2 linked regions of the Bombyx mori genome follow. The protein of the gene in region 1 purifies or fractionates together with the protein of each later gene. This does not show direct contact. Links are inferred from orthologs where the notes say so. Each region holds a gene or a part of one and is shown in the gene's direction. Other genes may lie near its edges.

Evidence for each region. Proteins that work in one complex are often made in the same cells at the same time.
Region 2: the proteins of protein NDUFAF4 homolog (region 1) and NADH dehydrogenase-ubiquinone Fe-S protein 2 purify together in Homo sapiens (co-immunoprecipitation; 3 studies listed by BioGRID and IntAct, with this or other methods). This does not show direct contact. The link is inferred for Bombyx mori from reciprocal best matches to the Homo sapiens genes NDUFAF4 and NDUFS2.

The regions. Positions count from the first base shown.
Region 1 is NC_085126.1:4,813,485-4,817,512, forward strand, and holds protein NDUFAF4 homolog, read left to right. Parts: upstream 1-1,559; 5' UTR 1,560-1,859; coding exon 1,860-2,507; 3' UTR 2,508-3,527; downstream 3,528-4,028. UniProt on the Homo sapiens protein: Involved in the assembly of mitochondrial NADH:ubiquinone oxidoreductase complex (complex I). May be involved in cell proliferation and survival of hormone-dependent tumor cells. May be a regulator of breast tumor cell invasion.
Region 2 is NC_085129.1:20,060,761-20,064,820, reverse strand, and holds the start of NADH dehydrogenase-ubiquinone Fe-S protein 2, read left to right. Parts: upstream 1-1,189; 5' UTR 1,190-1,202; coding exon 1,203-1,297; intron 1,298-1,926; coding exon 1,927-2,042; intron 2,043-3,426; coding exon 3,427-3,536; intron 3,537-4,060. Other genes in the region: kanadaptin, read left to right, coding at 1-114. UniProt on the Homo sapiens protein: Core subunit of the mitochondrial membrane respiratory chain NADH dehydrogenase (Complex I) which catalyzes electron transfer from NADH through the respiratory chain, using ubiquinone as an electron acceptor. Essential for the catalytic activity of complex I.

The DNA.
Region 1 (4,028 bases):
TAATGGCCATTTAGATAAATGGAAAGATTTTTGGAAAAACTTTCTGTGTTGCAAGCCTTGTATTAAAATTTGCAATGATAGCTTATGGAAGTTGTCGGTGCGTTACGCGAAGTGTTTCCCCAACAATTATCAATTAAACAACTGCTGCAATTTTGTAGACACGGTTGGTGTTTTATTAGACTATTACTATATTCAAGGTAGTGTTAATCTATATTTAAAGTTCTATGAAATGCACTTAATATCATATTTTTTTAAAAATAAATATCTATCCATCTCATTTCATCGTGAAAATGTTGGGACAACGAACAAAATTACTTTGTTAATTTTAGATATTAACAAGACTGTCAAGAAAGAACAACTCGAGGGGCGAATAAAATCAGCTAAACCTATTTCATCGATAAATAATATAAAAAATAAAGGGTAATCACATTTCTGAACTTATATTTAATGAACTGTGGGGTTAGTAGGGTACTGTGTCTATTAAACCGTAGGTCACATGGATTTGTTACAGTGATTTCACCAGTGATATTATACCAAAAAGTGATTTAGAATCTGTCTCTACGAGGTCTCCTCGTCCTCAATCGCGAACTTCGAGCGCTCGTTCTAATTCTACGATTCAGCCAAATGTAAAAAGTAAAGTAAGTATTTTCGACCCTGGGCACAGTTTCGCAAATTTCCGTCTTTTAATTAACTGTTTTAATTAAAGGAATCTAACATAAAATCAACCTATCGTATTTCTTCAAACGAAATGTATCCTGTTCACATGGTGAAAAATGTACACGACGCTAGGGTAAGAAAGGTTTTTTAGTAATTATTCTGCCTGTACATTATGTTGGTCAATCAATTGATTTCTATGTTGCTTAATAGATACATACATAATTAAGGTAGATTATCAATGTTTCTGTGATTTTCAGAATTTTTTGATGCGGAGTAGTATATTTAATGATCACCGAGGAAGACAGTTGAGTTCAACAGTCACAGTGACACCGGGGTGCACCATACGAATACCAACGAATACAGCTCCTAGCTACGCAGCTCACATGACACCGTCGTTTTTTAATGCAGGTACGATTTTCAATGTTATTAGTATGTAGTATAATTTCATTGCCAATGTACATAATAATATTAGAAACACTTTTTAACTACATAAGCGCCACCTGTCGTATATTTTTGGTACTTTGACAAAAATGTTACTGGAGTGCCAAAAATAAATAAAAATTAAACCTAATCAAGGAAGAGATACGCGAATGCTAGTAACATTTAACAAATAAACAAACCTGTTTTTTTTCTTCATAGATTATAGGTAGGATGATAGAATCCGTCAAATTATTTTTTTTTGTAAACTTGCAGTAAATTTCAATTTACAGCTTCTAACACGACACAAAAGGGAAATTTAACACAGAACAGACGTAGGCTCGGACGTAGCCCCAGTCCATCACCTACTCGTGTATTAAGTAAACAAACACGAGCTACGAATACGCCTCCTTCACCTGCCGAGAAGTCCGTTGAGAAGGGATCATCGAGGCTCGCGTTAAAAGAGGCTCTATCAAGACTCAAATGTTAGTACATTTAATAAATACGATTCAATGTATGTATGTAGATAACGGTCTTTAGGTACGTAAGTCATAACACGTGTTCAATATAAGCACTTAAGAGGTGCTGGTGCTTAATAGTTATTTAAAAAAAGAACTGATTGACAGTTACGGTACTTGTCAAAGACATTTTTACATGTCAAAATGCTGCCTAACCTCTATGCGATTGTATTTGTGATGAAATAACAAGTAATATTTTAATTAAAATGATATTTTTATGAAAACATAAAACTTTAGAGATTATTAAATGAACTAAAGCCATCTGAGATGGGTGCTTTAGTAGCGAAGGCATTAAGACCGGTCAAAGCTTTTAACATCGAGAACAGAGCTCATCGTGTGATTTCAAAAGAAAAACCTACACCGGCCCCCAGATATCCAGGAAATATTGAAGATTTGAAACGAACTTTAGAAGCTGACCCGAATATTGACGAAAAATTAGATAAAAAAGATCCTGCGCTTGACGATAGACTGAAGGATGTTTATGTAACATCTTACGGTCGGTCTGAAGATGACGTTACGCGGGAACTACGAAAAAAACAAAGCGAGGTAAGGCCTTTGCCTCAGGACCGGAAATTAGTCGAAGATTTTGAATTTGGATTTAGAGAACCGGAAAAAATTAAATATGGACGCGCTACACTTAGACAAGTAGTGACCTTTATTTCCGCTCATCAAATAGACAGCAAAGAAGCTAGTCCAGATAAAATAGCATTTGAATATAAACTGAAGCTGGAAGACGTGGAAAGCATATTAAAATATTTTAAAACTTTTGAAATTTATATACCTGAAACCAAGAAAACTCCAGCAATGTTTGCAGGACCAGCTCATTTGAAAAAAGAAATTATCGAATCACAAAAGAAGGCAATTGAAGAAAACAGTATGTTGGACGCTAAAACATTAAGACAAAAGAAAAGTTAGGTGTTTTAATTCATTCTTATAAAGTAGTTAATGTTACTCAGTTGAAAAGCTTAAATTGATTAATAAATATTATTATTTCTTGTAAGATGAACAAAAATATTTGAAATAAGTTTGTTTGAAACATTCCGCTTGGAACATTTGCATGTAATAAATATAAATAAAACTTCAAAGTTCTATCTCAGTTTGTTCTGAAAATAAAATTGCAATTACTTACATTGACTTTTTTCAGATACATTTCAATATTTATTTTTAGTTACATTTTGAAATGAAAACCTTTGCATTTAATATCAAATAAAACCTAGTTGAAATTTTATAAAAGATAAAAGTAAAAATGCAAGGAAACAAAAATTAAAACCAGTGGACGCCTATAGGCTGAAAGATAGATAGAAAGATATAAATAGGAAACAATATTAATGTGCTAAGCTAAGCAAAAACATTTATGTTCTTTTCATTAAATTGAACCCAAAAATTTTTTAAAAGGTGATTGCCTAATGCCACTTGAGACTATAGACCTTACAAGTGACTTGATTTTCAACATACTACATGCCACAGCTCAAAAGCATAATTTCAATGTTAATTTTTGGTTGAAATCATTTTGAGAGGTGAAAGAAAGGCTATTTAGTTTAAGCAACATTTAGGCTCATATTGAGTTATATACATATTCGGAATCAGGGGATTTTTCTCCATCTATTCACAAACAATTGTTTTTAATTGAACTTCATTTAGTTTATGCCATTCAAATAGCTGAAGAAGTTTTTTGTTATGACATTTTTTGTTAAAATTTTAAACTTTAAATGGTTCTCTAGTAAAGATAGCTACAAAGATGTTGTTTAAGCCTAATTGCTTTTCATCCCTCGATTTATTATCATTGTGCCAGGTAAACTACCTTTTCAAAGATGGCAACTATTGTTATTCAACCAAATTTAATTTCTTATACCATAAAATTGTTGTTAATTTATTTGTTAAATCTCTAGTTGTATGTAGACAGTGATAAATAAAATGAATTTCTTAGCATAAAAAGATTTTTATTCAAATTGACTCATTCAAAATGCTCACTTATCCCATAGTAAATCTAAGTAAGACAATAAGTGGCTCATGAATATTAAAGGTTTTATTTAGTATATAGGCAGTAGTTTATCAGTAAGCAATAGAGATGTTTATTTTTATATTATTTTACTTAAAAGCTTTATCATAAGTAGCACACGATTAGAATCTGTTAATTTTTTGTCTGGAGTTTTGCCCGTGTGGACTACATTTTATGCTAAGGTTGTTTTACCTTGAAATGGTAAGAGTAGGTCAGCTTAGAAACAATGCAGAAAAATATAGTACCATCTATTTTAAATCATTGTACTTGAAACCAAAAGTTTATCTTCACAGTGGGTGTTTCCTTCTTAGTAAGTCCCAGCAAAAGTCAAGAGAGAATGGAGCGTGCAGTAGAAAATTGATTGGGTCGTTCTTCAGCAGACCTGAGTGTTTTGTCGCGATTGTACTAAAAAAATTGTTTCCCGTGTTTTTGTGCAA
Region 2 (4,060 bases), on another chromosome or scaffold:
AGAGAGGGAGACGAGAGACCCAGAACGTTCGGTCCGATGAGGCCTCCCGATGGATACGTGATACCAGACGATTATTACAGTACTCGAGATTGTAATGAAATCATGGAGGAATAATTAAGAATAAATTATTAAAAATGTTTTGTTTTTCATTTTGTCTTATTGACGACGTCTGTTCGAAGTACACCGCCCAAAATAGTCTATAAAGTAGTCCGATAAATAATAAACTTTATGCTGTATATAACTGCGAAAGTTAAAAACATTTTTCCTTCTTTAATATATTTTATAAATTAGCTTAGATTATTTTTCTCTTCCATACTTGTCTCCATTCATGCTCTATGGGACTTGGGTCTTGAGCTCGCTGGTTGTTCAATAACATTCATTTACAATTTCAATGTTTCGAATGTAATTGACAACCACGGCTGCAACACGTGAGCGTGCATTATCATGCATAAAAATAAACTTTCCGTGAATGGGAGTTCAGTAGGTGCCCCCTTAAAGAAACTATTCATACCCAAAGACGTCTTTAACTCGTATAGCGCCCGTGTGCAGTCATTATTCTAGTGTCTCCAGTAAGAGCAACGTCAAAATGTAACAGGTTCGTTCATCGAAAGTGCTGAGGCCGACGCCTTCTAATACCGCTTCGTCTACACCCTACACTATAGGTATCTACCGTGGAGCACTAATGGTTTGAAGGGTGGAGCAGCCGTTGTAACTATTTTGAAACGTTAGAACTCCTGTTTCAAGATAGGTGGTGGCATTTACGTTGTAGATGTCTATAGGCTCCGGTAACCACTTGGCACCATCTATGCAAAAAAAAACACCCACTTCTGTTCATACCATAACTGTTTGGTCATTAAATATCTTCTTTACAATTATATTGTTTTGAGCTTGCCTCTCTCTTAAGGCTCTCGACATTTTAATCTCTCTACCTGGCTCCAAGCTGTATCATTACAATTTTCGTGATTGCGAACAGAATTAACATTGTATATTCTAGAAATTTCTACTAGTTTTTGTTCTTACTGTACTTCCTTAAACTTTTGAAAACTTGATTTTGAATCAGAATAAAATTATGGTTCGATTTTCGAGGTGGTTAAATGTTCAAGTAACTTATGGCCGGAAACAAATTGATCTATATTGGCGTTTTGACAACATGAGAAGTTGACGAGAAACGAAACGTTCCGTTTCGAACGGAGTTGTCAAAAATGGCCTCCCTTCTCAATGTTTTGTTGCGAAAATCTCCTAATTTCGGCCAAAAATCGGTCTTATTAAAGAACATTCCCGCTGTTCATAATGTGAAGTGAGTGTTAAATACAGAATTATAAAATGAGTGTGTTCAACTATTGAGCAAAAGTGAAAAAAAAATTATGTAACATTGTAGGTTAATTCACTTTAACTTATTTATGAATTCAAACAAAATAAACAATTGCAAACTCAATAATTTTACAACTACTTCGTTTAATTCGCATCTGTAATTAAAGGAACCCAATAACAACTTTGACTCCATCTGCCTCGACTCTGTATCTAACATTACTCTTATAACTAAATTCATAATATTTTGTTACATTTCACACATAGTCTTCCACAACCAAATTTAATGATACTGATCTCAACTAAAGATGAACGACTTTCTAACCGGAAATCTTACAGCCCTGAGTAAGAATTTAAATAATAGGGTACAACAGTATCCCAAATGTGTTGCAAATATAGTTATCTCCCAAAAGCACTCTTTAAGTCATTTTATACACGAGATATAAGTAGAGTTATTGTTGTAGAGTTACTAAATTCATATGTTTATTTTTAGAGATATAAAAAAAAACAAATAAGTTAAAAAAATCCCTGCTCTAGTGTTCGGGATTGGATATGCTTTTAATGTCTAGAAATCGAAAGCTTAATGGCTAACAGAGCTCACTATAAGAACTTTTACAGCTCCCAAAGAGATGGGCACCGTTGGTTCCCTGATCCAGACTTTGTGAAACAATTTGAAGGGCCAGTCATGTATCCTGATGAGTCGACCAAATCATTGAAACCTGTTCCTTATAACAGTAAGTAATTAATGTGGCACATAAATATTTTTGTTATGCCGCAAATACCTCTAGCACCCATTTAGTAAAATTAGTACTGACCATAATCAATCATAACAAATTCACATCTAAATCCGTTTTCATCATATTAACATTGTTGTTGTTGCTATCTTAGGCTTGCTGGTACATAGGGCCCTCACAAGCTGTCTCCACTTGACCCTGTCTTGTGCTTATGTTTTTTTTTTATGATCACGCTCCAGATCATGCTGGCAGTCCTGATCTCGCTCCACAGTGCCATTATGTACAGGGCGATCAGGTCTTCTCCTGCCAAGTGGTTGCCACTCAAACGCGATTGATGATACTTTGACTCTGCTGCGCCGTAAACTCGTAGAGTGTGTCCTGTTCAACGACATGTGTGGCTAGATTACCTTTAAACTGGAAGTCTTAAAAAAATCGCTGTGACTCTTCAGGAGGAGCAAGCCAGAGTTTCTCCTGTTTGGAAGTGAGACCTGGAGAGTGACGTAAGACAATCACCAACCAATTGCAGGTGTAAATAAGTGCTTGAGGTCGATACTCTGCATATTCTGGCCAGCCACTATATTAAATAAAGACCTCTGGACTAAATGTGCCTAAACCTCCATCGCCCATATTAACGTTATTAAAATATAATGTGATGTGTTAAAACATAATAAACTGTCAAAGTAAGTGTAATTATGTCTCTAACTTACAACCCACTAAAATCAAAGAGAAAACAAAAGTTAGTTAAACTTTTCATCGTCAGTCGTGTCATTTTTTCCGTAGTTTAATGAATGATAATTTTTTAGTATTACAGTTTTTACTGTATCCATTATTTATTTTGGATAGTATGAACATACATTCTTGGATTAAGTGCTTGTATTATATTTAATGACCTAGTTTAAATGATATTCTAGAGGATTTTGTTAGAATCAACTCTCTCTATTTTGGAGGTTATAATATCGAGGGGTGAAAGTCTATTTGGTTTAAGCGACATTTTTGCGACTTTACAGGAAAGCCATTTCAAGTTCAAAATTTCGAGAAAACAAAAAATTCCTTCAGTTATTTGAATGGAGTAAACTTAATTGAAGTTCAAACAAAAATATTGAACTGTTGATGCTGATACCAAATCCATTTAATAACAAAGATAAATGTCGCGTATTAAGCGTAATTTTCCTTAAACGAAATAGCATTTCACCACTCGATATATAGTAATAGAGATTCATTAATTACATATTATTGTTTTGACTTGTATACCCTGTATAAGGTAGCGAGACTGCAGCATTTAACTACTCTATCCAATAAAGAAAGTGTTTATCACCTAATCGCTTAGAATGAGGCAGACTCTGCCCTCAAATGATAAAAATATTAAAAAATAATAATCTTTCAGGCATCATAAAACCGGCCGAAAAGAAAGTACGCAACATGATCCTGAACTTCGGGCCCCAGCATCCAGCCGCTCACGGGGTGCTGCGTCTCGTACTGGAACTGGACGGAGAGGTGAGATATTTTGGAACATCAGCAGTTGAATTAGCTGATGCATGTATCGTCTTCTCACATTAAAACTGTATAATCTCAAAACTTACAAATTTTACAGGAGTGTTTTAAAGGTTTAATATTAATCATCTTTGCAACATTTATTAGTTATTTTTTACCAGTTACATTATTTGTCTTTTATAGTAAGATAAAATTATGTATTAATTTTGTTAATAGTAAACAATTTTGTAAATAGTAAAAAAAAAAAAAAAAATCTAAACTACGCTCTTTGACAGATGATCTATGAGAAAAATACTGGTGATACCAAATAATTCCGCATAATAACTAAATTTCGAATATTTTTGGAAATTGTTCACTTTTAATGCGAATTTATTTGGAGAATATTAAACTCAGTTTCTCAGAGCAGTCCGATGTTGGTGCTGTTATAAAATCATCATTCTTGGCCTCTTTTTTATTTTTTATTGCATAGATGGGTGGACGAGCTCACATCCCACTTGGCGTTAAGAGGTTACCGGAACCCATAGACA